4 linked regions of the Daphnia pulex genome follow. The main gene of each other region encodes a partner of the protein of the gene in region 4 in a complex. Links are inferred from orthologs where the notes say so. Each region holds a gene or a part of one and is shown on either strand. Other genes may lie near its edges.

Region 1 (4,317 bases), on a different chromosome or scaffold from region 4:
TCACCTTTAAAGAAAGAAAAAGAAAAATTATTTGATTTTACAGAACGTAATTATTTACGTTAATGTTTAGTTACCTCCTTTTCAAGTTCATAAAGGAGTTGGTTAATGATGCGACTGGCCTTTTCCTTCAGTGTACTAGGAAAGTACTGGGCCAGTCTGCCTAGGAGTACTAGGAAATTCATTTTCGCTAAAGTAAAACATAAATATTATAAATAACCATAGAAATACATATCTATGCATACACAGTAATAATACAATCTGCATAACAAACAGGGTAATTATACAATAGTCTTTTTAATTAATCACCTTTGCTTGAACTATCATCAGAAGATGTAGCCATTTTTTCAAAAAGCATATTAGAAAGGGCTGGCAAATTCAGTTCTTCTAATATTTCTGTTGGTGAAGTTTGAGCAGTAATAACAACTTGGCAAAGAACAAAATAACAAGCTCCTCGTATCTTAGAATTTTTGGAGTTCATGTACATCAATGCTAAATTCTTAAGGTAAATGAAAGTTATACTATTAGGTTTTTACACATAGCTAGGTAATATTAATTATTTTCCATACTTTAATAACCACTAAATGGTTGCTCATGGATTCTCCAAATTTTTCCAGTAAATCACCCAAAATTGACAGGGCACAATTTATTATTTCTGCAAAGTTGTCATCCTTTTGAGAATCTCTGAACTTGGACAACAAGGAAATTAATCCAATTTCTTTGTTTAGTAAAGCCGAGACAACAGAATCTTTAGAAAAAATACAATGTAAATGAATTGATTAACATGTTTTTGATGGGACCAATATTTGAAACCTACTGTCTTTGGTTTTGGATACAACATCTTTAATATCCTTGATTTGCTCCAGCATATCGCTGCACGTTCCAGAATGCATCTGAAATAGATAACCTTCCAATACGCTGTCCATTTTATATTCCTCGATGTTACCGACAACCGGACACTTTTAAAAGGCCAACTTCTTCTCGATTATTCGCAATTTTTACGACTTTAAAACTTTAATCATACATATTTAAATGTTAAGACAAGTTTTCAATTGTAGTGGTTCTTCAAAATTTTGCGATCAACGTTAACTCACGTAGGTTATAGGCCTAAGTGATGTTTTCATCCCTCCCGGGTTATGATGATTCGGCTGCTAGAATTGTGCTTTTGCGTAGGCATATTTGCCATGACTGATAGTTAGGCGTAATACATATTTGTAAAATATTCGCTATCATGGTTTTAAAATATCATTACGTTACTTTAAAAATATTTAAAAAAATTATTACCAACTCATTCCTCAAATGGGTATAAGGATTCAACTTTTTTGGAAATGAATAAATGTAGGCTATTTTCTGAAAACAAAAAAAAATCCAATGTATGATTATAATGCGAATAAAAATCAAGAAAAAATAATAATAATAAAAAATCTAAATTATTTTCCCTTCAGAAGATCCCGTTCTAGCTGACAGGCTAGGCTAGTCACCAAGTTACCTATGGTGTTTGGTGAATGGTGATTGCCTGATTGGTGGATGGTGGTTGCCTTGGCCTTCTCGATGGTAGTATTATTTGTTGAAATCTGGCACAGGCTTCCGCCATTAAAGACTCGTGTCCGGTGTGCAGTGCTTGTTTTTCATCATGGCTCGACGAAAAGAAAATGATCGAGCTCAGCAAAATAACGATGACTCGGATTCTAACCCAAACGATGAATTAGAAGACGAGCCCAACTTCGATGATCCGGAAGGTTATGAGGACGATATTTCTGAAGAAGGTACCGTTTGTAACTTACCTTTTGCCATATGGCTTTCCTGAGCATGCCGGCATTGAATCTTGCTAACTGTCAATGTAGATCTTATAGGTGACCTCATCAGGCAGCGTCCGAAAGAAACCGACGGAGTCGAATCAATTGTTGTTATTGACGGTGTTCCTCAGGTTGGTACTGAGAGGATAGAAAAACTTCAAAATGTCCTGAGAAAACTATTCCAAAAGTTTGGAAAAATAACTAATGAATATTATCCTCTTAATGCTGATGGATCAACTAAAGGGTAATTTATTAGTTTTTTTTTTAACTTTTGTGTCAGCCCAATTTTAACATAATATACTTTTGAAGCCATGTTTTCATAGAGTACTCAAATGCCAATGAAGCATTGGAAGTTCTTAAAGGAACTAATGGTTACAAGTTCGACAAAAATCACACCTTCACTGTGAACTTACTTACTGACTTCGAAAAATATAATGACATTCTTGATAAGTGGGAAAATCCAATTCCTCAGCCGTTTAAGGAGCAAGGATGCCTTCAATACTATCTTCTTGATCAAGACGCTTGTGACCAATTCTCAGTTGTGTATGAGCAGGGAGACAAAGTTGCTGTTTATTTGAACACTCAACCTGAACCCTCTCTGCTGGAAGAAAGACCTGTGAGTCACTTCACCTTTATTATTATTATTATTTTTTTTTTTCATATTAAAATTTTATCTGACCAATAATTATCTTCACAGAGATGGACTGAGACTCTAGTGCGGTGGTCACCTCTTGGCACCTATCTAGCCACTTTCCATGCAAAGGGTATAGCTCTTTGGGGTGGTGAAAAGTTTCAACAAATTGTGCGCTTCAGTCATCCAGGAGTGCAATTCATTGACTTCTCACCATGTGAGAAGTATTTAGTATCTTTTAGTCCACTGGCTGATTCAAGAGCAACTGATGAACCACAAGCCATCATCATTTGGGACGTGTTGAGCGGTCTTAAGCGACGAGCTTTTAATGCCGATAAATCTCAAGCCCTGCCCATTTTTAAGTGGTCGCATGATGACAAGTATTTCGCTAGGATGGGAATCGACATGCTTTCTGTTTATGAAACCCCATCATTTGGCCTTTTAGACAAGAAGTCGATCAAAGTAACGTACACGATTTACAAAATCTTCTAATAACCATTTCCTAACATGCACTCTTACATTTTGATAGGTTCAAGGAATTCGAGATTTTGCCTGGAGCCCAACAGACAATACGATTGCTTATTGGGTCGGAGAGGAGAAAGATACTCCTGCTCGCGTCACACTTCTTGAGTTGCCAAGTCGCAATGAAGTGCGAGTCAAAAATTTGTTTAGCGTTGCCGACTGTAAAATGTATTGGCAAAAATCAGGTGACTATTTGTGTGTGAAAGTCGACCGCTATGCCAAATTAAGGAAAGATAAGTCCGATATCAAATACAGGTAATGAGATGCCACTCCTTCAATTAATAGATATAAAAGCTAATTTTCCCCCCTTTGATAGCGGTATCTACTACAATTTGGAAGTTTTCCACATGCGAGAAAAACAAATTCCAGTCGACTCGGTAGAAATCAAGGAAACCATTCAAGCTTTTGCGTGGGAGCCAGTTGGTACTAAGTTTGCCGTCATCCACGGTGAGCCACCGAGTACTTCTGTTTCTTTCTTCGAAGTTAAAACTGGACAAACGCCTACGATGGTTAAAAAATACGAACGTAAACCTTGCAACCAGTTGTACTGGGCCCCTTCTGGTAAGAAAACATTAAATTTAATGTTAAAATTCTAAAATCCTTACTATACTTTATCGAACAGGCCAGTTCATTGTGTTAGCCGGCCTACGTGCCATGTCTGGCACATTGGAATTTGTCGACACCCATGATTTTACCGTCATGAATACGGGCGAACACTTCATGGCTACTGATGTGGAGTGGGATCCAACCGGTCGGTATGTCGCAACTGCTGTTTCCTGGTGGGGTCACAAGGTAACAAAAATCAAGCAATGTATTCATTTTTGACAATGTTTGATCTCTTGTACTTTGACAGGTCGATAATGCCTACTGGTTGTGGTCCTTCCAAGGACGCATTCTCAAACGCGTAGCACTAGACAAATTCTGTCAGCTGCAATGGAGACCTCGACCACCTTCATTACTTCCAGCCCAACAAATAAAGGACATTAAGAAGTCTTTGAAGAAATTTAGTGCCCAATTCGAAGTGAAGGATCGATTGAAAATGACTAAAGCTTCCAAAGTAAATATTTTTTGAATGTGTAATTTTTGGCGAAAGTATTTTCTAAAAATCTGACATTTTCAAACTTCACCCAGGAATTGGTAGAAAAACGCCGCAAACTGATGCAAGAATATGAAGACTTGCGTAAGCAGAAGCAAGAGGACTATGACGCTCAACGTCGCCGTCGTATCGAATTGCGCAACAGTAAGTTCTTAAACCTAGTTAATAAGTAAGCTTATCAGGATTTAACTCACAAATGAATTCACAGACGTGGATACGGATGAAACTGAAGGCCGTGGAGGGGAATTAGAAGAGGAGACAGTCGAGTTTTTCAT
Region 2 (3,506 bases), on a different chromosome or scaffold from region 4:
AGGAATGGCTTCAACCTTCGCAACAGGCTTCATATGGACCGAAACACACCTGCTGGTAACTAACCGGATTTCTGCGGCTTTCTCAGTTGCTTCTTCAATGGGAGAGATGATATTCCCAACGGTACGTTAAATTTAAATGCTAATGATTTCCACTACGTATTTATAACCCGTCTGTTTTGTTTACCGTGTTGATACAGGTAACAGGCGCATTGATCGAGTCGAATCCACTTTCCCTGATGTACATAGTTCTAGGATGCACCATTTTTATCACGACAGTCTTTTTTGTAGCCTGGTACCTGGCAAAACGTAAAGGACGAGGCTTTAGCAGTAACAGCAGGGGCTATCATCTTGCACGTCAAGCCGAGGATGAATCAGCGCAAAACTAGATAACTTTACTTTTTTTTCACTTAAAAATAATGTTTAGGTGAGGTAATCCTCATTCCCTTGATGTTTAGCTTAGAAAGACAAAAGAGAAAGGTGAAAATTCGGTTCATGTCTGTGATAGAGGGTTGAAGAGCTTGATTGGAATCCATTTGCGTGTATTTTTTTTATCCCTTTACATGATCGTAGCATCCAATATTTGATGAAGGAATTTTAGGCTTTTTTCACTGTGTTCCCGATGGTCTGTTAAACGATTGAAAAGAGAAAGATCAGTTTCATTTGACTCGTCAATTTAAAGAACTAAATTGTTAAAAAATAAAATTTTAAAAATTCCAGTCATGAATTTCAAATTCAGCTCACAACTATTTTGAATGAAATTAAGTGAATTGAGAGCTAACTTACTTAGACCATTCGACAGTCAGGATAAGATGGTCGTAACCAAAACCATTCAAGGTCTTGATAGCTCGTTCGGCGTCTTCTCGTCGTTTGTAGCTGACAAATGCAAAACCTCTGGATTGGCCAGTGTTTTTGTCCTAAAATTCAGTTTGAAGCGGTGCCATAATTTTTACAAAATGATAATTAGTGAATAAATTTGAGTCTAACCTTTGAGAGGAAGATGCGTGAGATTTCGCCAATACGGCCGAACAATTCTTGAAGATCGGAATCGCGAGCGTTTTCCGAGAGGTTGGTTACTCGTACAGTGCACCCTTCATCAGCTGTTATCGGGAAAGAAAAGGGTAATCATTAAATAATGTTTTTCCTATGTATGTTTTCTATTACTTCTCCGGTGGTTTTAATAATATGAAATAAACTACTATGAAGAAACTGTATCTTACTTCGTCGACCCATAGCCATAGTCTCTCCTTTTCTGTTGCCACCATCACGAAGTGCAGGTGCAATATAGGCGCTTCCTTCTTTACCACCCTTGGCTTGCGGTCCTCCAGCAGCAGCTGCGGCAGGAGGCGGGCCGGCCTTCTTCTCCTCAGCCTTAATTAAAGAGATATAGAGCAAAATTAGCAAGAGTTCAATTCAAAATAAAGAAAATGTGTTTACCTTATTGAGTGCTTCTTGGACAGGCAAAAGTGTGTCCTTGTAAGGACACTGTGTTGTCCAATGGTCCTCTTTACAGATACGACACTTAACAATGCCCTTCTGCATGCTTTTTAACTTCATAAGAGGGTCATCTTCCTTGTTATCAGGATCCTCTTTGTTCGTAATAAACTGTCAAAGTAAAAATGGTAATTAGCATCCAACGGTTTTGATAGATCAACTGAGAAAAGAAATACCTGCATGGCTACATCTTCAGATACAATTGTTGTTGCAGGGTTTGGTCCTGGTTTATCTTCCTTGGAAAGACCAAATTTTGGCCAACTTTTACGCTGGGCAATGGCTTTAGCTACATACCTTTTCTCTATTTTGTAAGTACGCACCACCTTGAACTTCCTGTTATCATCATCAAGACCATACTCTGTGACAATTTTCAGCCCATTTTTGTATTCTTCAGTGTTAGGGGGTAAACCGAGACCTAAGGAATAATACCGGCATGATTAAAGAAAATCTTACATTAATTACGGGGAAGCGGCATTACTAACCATCGATATCCTCAACGTCATCGGCCCAACTGGATTTAACTCTGAAATCATATCAAGATTGTGTTGTATTTTTAATATTTGCACATTAATTTGTCTCATTTCACTTACTCATTATCAGCAACCGGCATTTTTCTTGGAGAAGATTGATTACGTCAAGTAAATAATCAAAAAGTAGAAAATTCACTGCTATTGCAGAAATGTGTCAGCAAGCAGCCATTAGAACGTGTGTAGAGCGACATTGCCAGTTTTGAAAAATTCATTTCGTAATTTTGACTGCTTTTACAATTTCGTCTGCTCTTCTTCGAATACAATCCCGCCGTTTATGAGATTCCGGCACGTGGAACTCGAATACAGCAAAAATGGCTAGCTTACCACAGAAAAAATATTATCGACAAAGAGCACACTCCAATCCTATCGCAGATCACTGTTTTGACTAGTGAGTATCTTATTTCCAGTTTTCGATTTATCATTAAGTCATTTTCTAACCCAATTTGTCGTTTGAAGTCCTGTCTCTCCCAATGACATGAAATGGGATGAGCTCTATCCTACATTCAGCAAAGATGGAATAATGAAACACAAAGTTCAGTTTGCTGATATTGGATGTGGCTATGGCGGTTTATTGAGTATTTTTATCACATTTTGCCAATAAAATATGTGGAAAATTAATTTTGTATTTTTTTTTAACAGTATCATTATCCACCATGTTCCCAGAGACTTTAATGTTAGGAATGGAGATTCGTTTGAAAGTTTCAGAATATGTCCAGGATCGCATAAAGGCGTTGAGGATTTTGCATCCAGGTGATTACGGAAATGTTGCCTGCTTAAGAAGCAATGCCATGAAGTACTTACATTTATTTTGTTCATTTACTTGGGCATGTTTGCTTAATTTATTCTATGCTACTAGGTACCTCCCTTGCTTTTTCGATAAAGGACAATTGACAAAAATGTTTTTCCTCTTCCCTGATCCTCATTTTAAGAAGGCCAAACACAAGTGGCGTATTATCAATGACACTCTCTTGGCTGAATATGCCTATGTTTTGGCTGAAGGGGTAAGTAGGCAGGCCTAGAACGGCCCTTCTTTAGCTACTTGATGTAGATATCTTGTGTGATTAATTAAATTTTACTTTAGGGTTTGGTTTACACAATTACTGATGTTAAAGATCTTCATGAATGGATGGTTATGCATCTAGACCAACATCCATTATTTAAGAGACTAACCCAGGAAGAGCTGGTTAGTTATACTTTATAATTAAATAGCTATAAAACTACAAATTCTTTTTGCGGTATCAGGATCAAGACATTGTAGTTCCAAAACTGTACGAATCAACGGAGGAGGGCAAAAAAGTCACGCGAAATAGTGGTGATAAATTTCTTGCTGTATTCAGAAGAATTCCTGATCCATTCGTACTTGAAGAAAACAAGTGCTAATGTATACAAATTTGTTTGCCGGTTCCCTGCTCGTCACTTGTATTGCTCCCAATGGAACTGTTTGCTGGAATTCACATAATCAACCAGCTTTAAGCTGCCATTCAA
Region 3 (3,303 bases), on a different chromosome or scaffold from region 4:
TAACTAATTGAAACATGAATTACTTTTCCTTTTGGGACTCCCTTTTTTTTGCGGCAGTCGTAGGTTTTTCCTTCTCTTTCTTGATAGCGTTAAAAAATTGGGATACCAGTTGAAAATCCCGAGCAACCCGCTTCCTTCGGGCTCTTTCCCTCAGGCGGCGAGTATACATATCGACTTGAGCCAGTTTTAGAGCCAAATCAATATCCTCGTCGTCATGATTAATGGCAAGATGAGAAACAATTGCCTCAGCTTCATTGTCATGTTCCTACAAAAAATAAAAATAATGTTGAAGTTTTTAAGACAATTTGTTTCATGACAAATTAAGACCCACCCTTTCAAAATCATCTCTTTGAGGCATGTATCCAAGTTCTAATGTTTCTTCAGGTTGAATAGCTAAAGGTGGTAGTCGTGATGTGATGGATGGAGATAGAGGTGCATTATCTGGACAAGTGTGATCAATTGCTGCCAAGCGAGACTCTCCACTTGCGAGAAGTCCATTTGGAAGCCCTTGCCATGTTAGTTTACCTATTGTTCCTGTGACAAATCTATCACAGTACTGTTCTTTGCATTCTGTAAAAAAAACATAATTGGAGAGTAACTGATGATAAAATCCTGATAAAAATCAACAATTACTTTCTGAATCCCGTGTTTCTACATGTTTCGCAACATCTTCCCAATTTCCATAACCAAACTGTTCTATTGCATCAAGTAACTGATAGTCTTCCCTTGCAATCCAGCCACCTTCATCCTCCCTTTGTTGGTCAGGAAAAATACTAAAAGTACCAGGATCCTAGAAATTAAAAATAAAGTATTTATTGAGAGTTTGATAGAAAAACTTAAATACTCACTATTAATCTATATCCATGACTACTTTTATGTGGTCCAATTTCACAGCCAAGAGAGAAACACTAGAAAGAAACATTGCAAAACTGTGTTATTAAAATAATTCAAATTCGCCGCCGACCAACCGGCAATACCACTCCGGTGGGCGTCATAACAAACAACAAAGAAGGAAGGGGAGGGATTCATTCAACGAAGATTTTATACCACACCTGTAAACAAAGTTCGTAATCGACACAAACGTTACATCGGATTCGAATGCCAAGGATGTCGTCCTGACAGTAGCCACATCGATGCTTCATAAATAAATCTGAGGAATGGATACAGAAAGAAAGATTTTCAATTTTCGAAAATAAGGATTCAACGAGAGCATTTTTTTTTACCCGCCATCTTTAGCCTTCCCTTCCCATCAAGAACAACTAAGCTATGCCAACGCTAGCGAAAGCATTGGTCGCGCCCTCTGGTGACTGAGAAGTGAGAAGTCTTTAAAAAATAATTAAAATGACGTGTAAAATTTATAAACAATGTACACCGTACATTTTATTAAATTAAATTTTTTTTAATGTATAACGAGACGTGTTTGGTAAATAGAAATAATTCAACGTATTATATATCACCAATTGGCAACTAGTTCGTGTCGGCTTTTTCAGCTCCAATGCGGTAGTGGTCTGCAAAAAAAGTCACGCAAAATGGCTCTCAATCTGACTGTCAAGTTGCATCCTGTTGTATTATTTCAGATTATTGACTCTTATGAGCGTCGTAATCCTGATGCACAGAGAGTAATTGGAACGTTGCTTGGTAACATACAATTTAGATCATCCGTTTGCTTTCGCGTTTTATTGTTTTTTCGACTGTTGACACGTGTATCGGTATCGAGTACCTGACAAAATCTTTGGATTATATACCTAAATTCCTATAATATGCGAAATCGAAGTTGTGATAACTCATTTTTCATATTGATTTTTTCCAGGCACATCAGATAAAAATGGTGTGGAAGTGACCAATTGCTTTTGTGTGCCTCACAATGAATCAGAAGAAGAAGTGGCTGTGGAATTGGACTTTGCCAAGGATATGTATGACTTGCATCGTAAAGTTAATCCCCAAGAAAGCATTGTAGGTTGGTGGGCAACTGGTACTGGAGTCACATCTCACTCTGCTCTTATTCATGAGTACTACTCCAGAGAGTCCTCCAATCCTGTTCACATTACAGTGGACACCACATTGCAAGATACCCGTATGGGAATCAAAGCTTATGTCAGGTACATGCTATTAATTCAGTATGATACAATTGCTTTGAAAAATAATTATCTTTAAATTATCATCTAGTGTCCCAATGGGTATCACAGGCAAAACTATGGGATGCATGTTTGCTCCTGTTTCTGTTGAGATAGCATGCTATGACCCAGAAACTATTGGATGTAATTATAATAGAAAATGTGTATGTATACTGGGAATTAATCTTTGATTGTTTTTCAGTAAATGCCTGCCAGAAAACCAAAACCTCGGTTAAACGTCAAGCGGGCATCGCTTCGGATCTTACTCAGATTGTTGAAGCCTCGCAGCAGATGGAAAACATGCTGGACACTATCTTGGCTTATGTTGACGACGTAATGAGTGGCTCCAAAACGGCTGACAACACGTTTGGTCGTTCTCTATTAGATATGGTTCATTCGGTACCTAAAATGACACCCGACGAATTTGAAGAGATGCTTAATTCAAACCGAAAGGTAGAAAACATTACCCAATATTTACTTATTTAATCTAATTTTTGTAAAACTTTATTAATTTAGGATTTATTGATGGTATTATATCTATCACAACTTACCAAGACTCAACTGTCGCTGAACGAAAAACTCACATTGTTGACAATTTAATTCAGAACGTTGATATAAAAAATAAAAATGAACATCTCCCAATTAAATTACAATTTTCTGATGTAGTCCTCGTGAGCATATTTATTAGGAAACTATAGTATACAGTCACACGTACACAAGGGGGAAGAAAATTTCTTCGCTACCAAGGAAAAGAATCACACCCATCTTCTCTCAGAGAGCAAAAAAAATGATGATTAGGAAAAGCGAAAAACAGAATTTCAAGAAACGACCATCAGGAAGTTGGCCAGGTTTAGTAGCTATCGTTTACATGAGGAATGCTTAATTAAGCAGGCACATTGGTGGGTAAGATAGATTTATCCAGATCGGTAAACCAAGCATGATCTAAAGCATCCTGAGCCGTGATACGAAGGGCTGGATCGTAAATGAGAGTTTTTTGAAGCAGATCAAATCCAATCGAGTCAAGTTGCTTCACGGAATTTTGAAGGTGGTAAGTATTCCAATTAGGGAAAGTAGGTTTATAGTCGGGCATTTTTGAAACGCCTGGCCACATTTCCTCCGTGGGCGTCTTCATTACTCTGTGTTTCAAATAAAATAGGAACAAATGTAATTTTAAAAATAAAAAAAAAAG
Region 4 (3,493 bases):
TGTTGAAGGAGATAAAATATCCATTATTCCATCATTATCACTGTTTTCTCGGAATTTTTTCATGACCTGGAGTAAAAAGAACGCTAGAAGAATATACACCACATAATAAAAAGGATGTCGTTTACCTGGGTGACTTCATCAACACAAAGGGCTATATCTAAACTTCTAAGTTCAATAGATGAAGATTCTTCACACATTTTCTCAACATTGTGGGCCTCATCAAATATAACAATATTTCCCTAAACAAGCACAAAAAAAGAAGTTAATATTTCATGCACCTTTAAAGACTACTAAATGTACTGGGAATTACCTGGAGTTCAATGTTGTGAATTTTTCTCACTTTAGGATCAAGAAGGTAGTTGTATGGCATAAAGATGATGTCAGCTACCTTACGAATTTCTTTTGTCATAAAATAAGGGCAAGCAGAATGTTTTTTCCCCAAAGTCACCAAGTCTTCAATATCCAATACATCCATTTTGAAGTCTGGTTCCTCTTTCTTAGCATCTAGATTTGTGTGGAAGTAGCAAGTACGAGTAGTAGTTCTAGCATGGCACATGTGAAGCTTTACAGCATTGTTTGTTTCCTTTGACACTTCTGGATGAATGCACAGTTGGTCACGAGATCCAAGGATGCATACCTTAAATGAAGAAAAATAAAATAAGGGTTATCAAAACCCATTTCATGTAGGCAAATAGCTTTAATGGAAGAAGGAAATGCTCACCTTCATATATCTGTAAGAGGACCGTTTTAATTCAGAAATGACCTGGCTGAGCTGAGAATGAGTTCTGGATGCATAAATGATTTTGGGTACTCCAGCTCCAGGAGTAGCAGCATCTCCCCATCCAAGCCCAGTTGCATTACTTAATTGATTTTTAATATCCACTCCCATATCTCCAGCTAATTGACCAGACTGTATTTGTGCTTTTCGTGTTGCTAACCAACCCAATGTCGAACAAAGTAAGCACAAAGTTTTTCCTGTGCCAGTAGGAGATTCCAACAAACCATTTACACCCTATTTAATCAAGAATAACAAAATAAGAGCAAGGTGTCCACTGACCGATAACGCAACACTAGTTACTTTTTGAAGACATTCTATCACACGCTCCATGAATTTCTCTTGTACATCATAAGGCTGGAATGGAAATTCAATGGGAACATTATTTAAAACCAAATTCACCATTCTAGATAAATAATTTTGGTAATTGTGTTCCACGAGACACACGCAATGTGAAGGAACACGCAATGTGAGGGAACCCGCCAAAATAGTTGAATGAGAATAGCAGACGATGTTAAAACTGCTTTAACTTCCCTAGCGAGTAGCGCCCTCTGAAACAAATCGAAAAGTAAAATTATTTTTGCTAGTGTCATTTTAACGTTACGCGTGATTAAAGAATAAAAATTAATTTTTTTTTTTTTTGTATAAAGTTTAACAGTTTTGATAAGATTAAAGATGGTTCGTTTTTTGGTGGGTGGGTGGCAACACTGTAAAATCGAGCAGGGCCGGCAGACGAGTGTTGTAAAAACGTCGAAAGGCCTCAGTCGCCCCACGCCGAAAGAAGTGTACGTCATTATTACAGTTGTGACCAATTAATATAAACAAAAATGGTAATTTTCAGTGCATTTCTGTTATTTAATTTCATTATATTAATCCACTGTTATTGTTGATCACAGAAACCTCTTATGCTTCACGGTCACGAGCGTTCAATCACGCAAATTAAGTACAACCGGGATGGAGATTTGCTCTTCTCGTCAGCCAAGGACAACCACCCTTGTGTCTGGTATTCAGTCAATGGAGAACGATTGGGTACCTACGAGGGACATCAGGGTGTCGTATGGGCGATTGATGTTGATTGGGAAACTAAACGTTTCATGTCTGGTGCTGGTGATAATATGCTCATGATCTGGGATGTCCAAACTGGTATGTTCAGTGAGAAATGACCCCATTGCGTAATTACGACTTAAACTTTTCTTTGTTTTTTTTTAGGCAAGGCTTTGGGTAAAATTGAAGCCAAGACTTCAGTTCGTACATGCAACTTCAGTTACAGTGGAAACATGGCCCTTTACTCAACAGACAGTACTATGGGTAACCCTTCAGAGATCTTCATCATTGATGTCAGAACGGTTGACTCTTCCTTCAGTGAAAATGACCCCATCCTGCGAATTCCATTAACTAATGCCCCTAAAGCCACATCAATGGTTTGGGGTAATCTAGATGAGGTTGTTATTTCTGGTCACGACAATGGTGACTTGGCCCAATGGGACCTCAGGTGAGAATGACATTGTCGTAACCTTGAGTGCTTAAAACTAAATCCTGTTTATTATTTATACTACAGAACTGGCAAGAAGAACAACCTGGTTTCAGAACACGCCAAGTCTATCAACGACATGCAGCTGTCCAAAGACGGAGCTCTCCTCATCACTGCATCCAAGGATTGCACTGCAAAACTCTTTAACGCCGAAACGTTAGAGTGCCTAAAAACTTACAAAACTGAGCGACCCGTCAACAGTGCCGCCATCTCACCCATCATGGATCACGTATGATCCTTGAGCTTCTAAATGATTCAGTTGATCGATTCTAACTGTTTTCCTTCAATCTTCAGGTGGTGTTGGGAGGTGGTCAAGATGCCATGGACGTAACGACGACCTCAACGCGTGTCGGCAAGTTCGACGCCCGTTTCTTCCATCTGGTTTTCGAAGAAGAATTCGCTCGTGTCAAGGGCCATTTCGGTCCTATCAATTCTCTGGCCTTCCATCCCGACGGAAAGACGTACGCCAGTGGTGGTGAAGATGGTTACGTTCGTTTGAATCAATTCGACCAGTCTTACTTTGACTTTAAATTCGATTACTAAACCAGAAGAAAAGCGAAAAACCTACGAAGAACCCAATCCATCATCTATGAACACTTGTCTTGTGTTTATTTTTTGACCACTTTCGTGTACATGGGCGATATAAGAGAAGGTATTTGAATACATCATGTTGGAAAGGTCTCGAGTGAGAATCTTTTTTGGGGGGAAAATTTATTTCTCAAGAGAGGGCACGAGACGAAATTAAGCGTATACAAACAGGTTCGAGTCGCCTGTTTAAGAGGAGAAAACATAACTGATATTGTTTACAAACAATTCTTTTGAAATCTTTTTCTTCTGACGAAGTCCATTACAGGGTTTACGATATTCTAATCACCTACTGTTGCGCATCCCAAGAAAACTTGGCATTTTGCGAAGAGAAAGAGCTCATCAGTTTCCTTCTGGTAGAAGTTTTAATGGGAGACATTCTTGTCCCAGCTGAACGCATTGGAACTTATTACGACTCTAGCGTCTTGCCAACATGGTCGGGACTATCTCGAGCGACAAGGAATCATTGAGAAGCTCGCCGGTAATTTGGACGAGGCTCCTGCAGATCCTCTTGCCTCGCCTGCTCGTTCCCGGGCTTATGAAATTTATCGGTTCGCTGGCTCATTTTCAACCGGATGTATTAGCCAGATATCCGAACTTTA

Evidence for each region.
Region 1: eukaryotic translation initiation factor 3 subunit I-like (region 4) and eukaryotic translation initiation factor 3 subunit B-like share a complex: the UniProt entries of both Caenorhabditis elegans proteins name them as parts of the eukaryotic translation initiation factor 3 (eIF-3) complex. The link is inferred for Daphnia pulex from reciprocal best matches to the Caenorhabditis elegans genes eif-3.I and eif-3.B.
Region 2: eukaryotic translation initiation factor 3 subunit I-like (region 4) and eukaryotic translation initiation factor 3 subunit G-like share a complex: the UniProt entries of both Caenorhabditis elegans proteins name them as parts of the eukaryotic translation initiation factor 3 (eIF-3) complex. The link is inferred for Daphnia pulex from reciprocal best matches to the Caenorhabditis elegans genes eif-3.I and eif-3.G.
Region 3: eukaryotic translation initiation factor 3 subunit I-like (region 4) and eukaryotic translation initiation factor 3 subunit F-like share a complex: the UniProt entries of both Caenorhabditis elegans proteins name them as parts of the eukaryotic translation initiation factor 3 (eIF-3) complex. The link is inferred for Daphnia pulex from reciprocal best matches to the Caenorhabditis elegans genes eif-3.I and eif-3.F.

Annotation. Positions count from the first base shown.
Region 1 is NC_060026.1:9,963,284-9,967,600, reverse strand, and holds the start of eukaryotic translation initiation factor 3 subunit B-like, read left to right. Parts: upstream 1-1,505; 5' UTR 1,506-1,630; coding exon 1,631-1,763; intron 1,764-1,841; coding exon 1,842-2,037; intron 2,038-2,102; coding exon 2,103-2,409; intron 2,410-2,490; coding exon 2,491-2,886; intron 2,887-2,953; coding exon 2,954-3,201; intron 3,202-3,262; coding exon 3,263-3,507; intron 3,508-3,568; coding exon 3,569-3,738; intron 3,739-3,799; coding exon 3,800-4,003; intron 4,004-4,077; coding exon 4,078-4,186; intron 4,187-4,250; coding exon 4,251-4,317. Other genes in the region: DNA-dependent protein kinase catalytic subunit-like, read right to left, coding at 1-4, 75-187, 307-496, 567-745, 815-923. UniProt on the Caenorhabditis elegans protein: RNA-binding component of the eukaryotic translation initiation factor 3 (eIF-3) complex, which is involved in protein synthesis of a specialized repertoire of mRNAs and, together with other initiation factors, stimulates binding of mRNA and methionyl-tRNAi to the 40S ribosome.
Region 2 is NC_060023.1:11,177,262-11,180,767, forward strand, and holds eukaryotic translation initiation factor 3 subunit G-like, read right to left. Parts: upstream 2,219-3,506; 5' UTR 2,102-2,218; coding exon 2,082-2,101; intron 2,015-2,081; coding exon 1,974-2,014; intron 1,907-1,973; coding exon 1,668-1,906; intron 1,603-1,667; coding exon 1,435-1,602; intron 1,369-1,434; coding exon 1,218-1,368; intron 1,207-1,217; exon of another isoform or gene 1,098-1,206; coding exon 985-1,097; exon of another isoform or gene 915-984; coding exon 784-914; exon of another isoform or gene 625-783; coding exon 606-624; 3' UTR 523-605; downstream 1-522. Other genes in the region: flocculation protein FLO11-like, read left to right, coding at 1-121, 198-386; tRNA (guanine-N(7)-)-methyltransferase-like, read left to right, coding at 2,333-2,409, 2,478-2,596, 2,661-2,814, 2,878-3,022, 3,103-3,204, 3,264-3,401. UniProt on the Caenorhabditis elegans protein: RNA-binding component of the eukaryotic translation initiation factor 3 (eIF-3) complex, which is involved in protein synthesis of a specialized repertoire of mRNAs and, together with other initiation factors, stimulates binding of mRNA and methionyl-tRNAi to the 40S ribosome.
Region 3 is NC_060026.1:11,480,263-11,483,565, reverse strand, and holds eukaryotic translation initiation factor 3 subunit F-like, read left to right. Parts: upstream 1-1,477; 5' UTR 1,478-1,529; coding exon 1,530-1,638; intron 1,639-1,810; coding exon 1,811-2,099; intron 2,100-2,166; coding exon 2,167-2,258; intron 2,259-2,316; coding exon 2,317-2,567; intron 2,568-2,630; coding exon 2,631-2,714; 3' UTR 2,715-2,761; downstream 2,762-3,303. Other genes in the region: transcriptional adapter 2-beta-like, read right to left, coding at 24-265, 332-570, 634-790, 849-908, 1,053-1,150, 1,224-1,230; cyclin-dependent kinase 1-like, read right to left, coding at 2,998-3,250. UniProt on the Caenorhabditis elegans protein: Component of the eukaryotic translation initiation factor 3 (eIF-3) complex, which is involved in protein synthesis of a specialized repertoire of mRNAs and, together with other initiation factors, stimulates binding of mRNA and methionyl-tRNAi to the 40S ribosome.
Region 4 is NC_060019.1:6,193,286-6,196,778, reverse strand, and holds eukaryotic translation initiation factor 3 subunit I-like, read left to right. Parts: upstream 1-1,455; 5' UTR 1,456-1,602; coding exon 1,603-1,605; intron 1,606-1,671; coding exon 1,672-1,918; intron 1,919-1,984; coding exon 1,985-2,267; intron 2,268-2,333; coding exon 2,334-2,535; intron 2,536-2,600; coding exon 2,601-2,849; 3' UTR 2,850-2,987; downstream 2,988-3,493. Other genes in the region: regulator of telomere elongation helicase 1 homolog, read right to left, coding at 1-66, 126-239, 311-637, 722-1,012, 1,079-1,180. UniProt on the Caenorhabditis elegans protein: Component of the eukaryotic translation initiation factor 3 (eIF-3) complex, which is involved in protein synthesis of a specialized repertoire of mRNAs and, together with other initiation factors, stimulates binding of mRNA and methionyl-tRNAi to the 40S ribosome.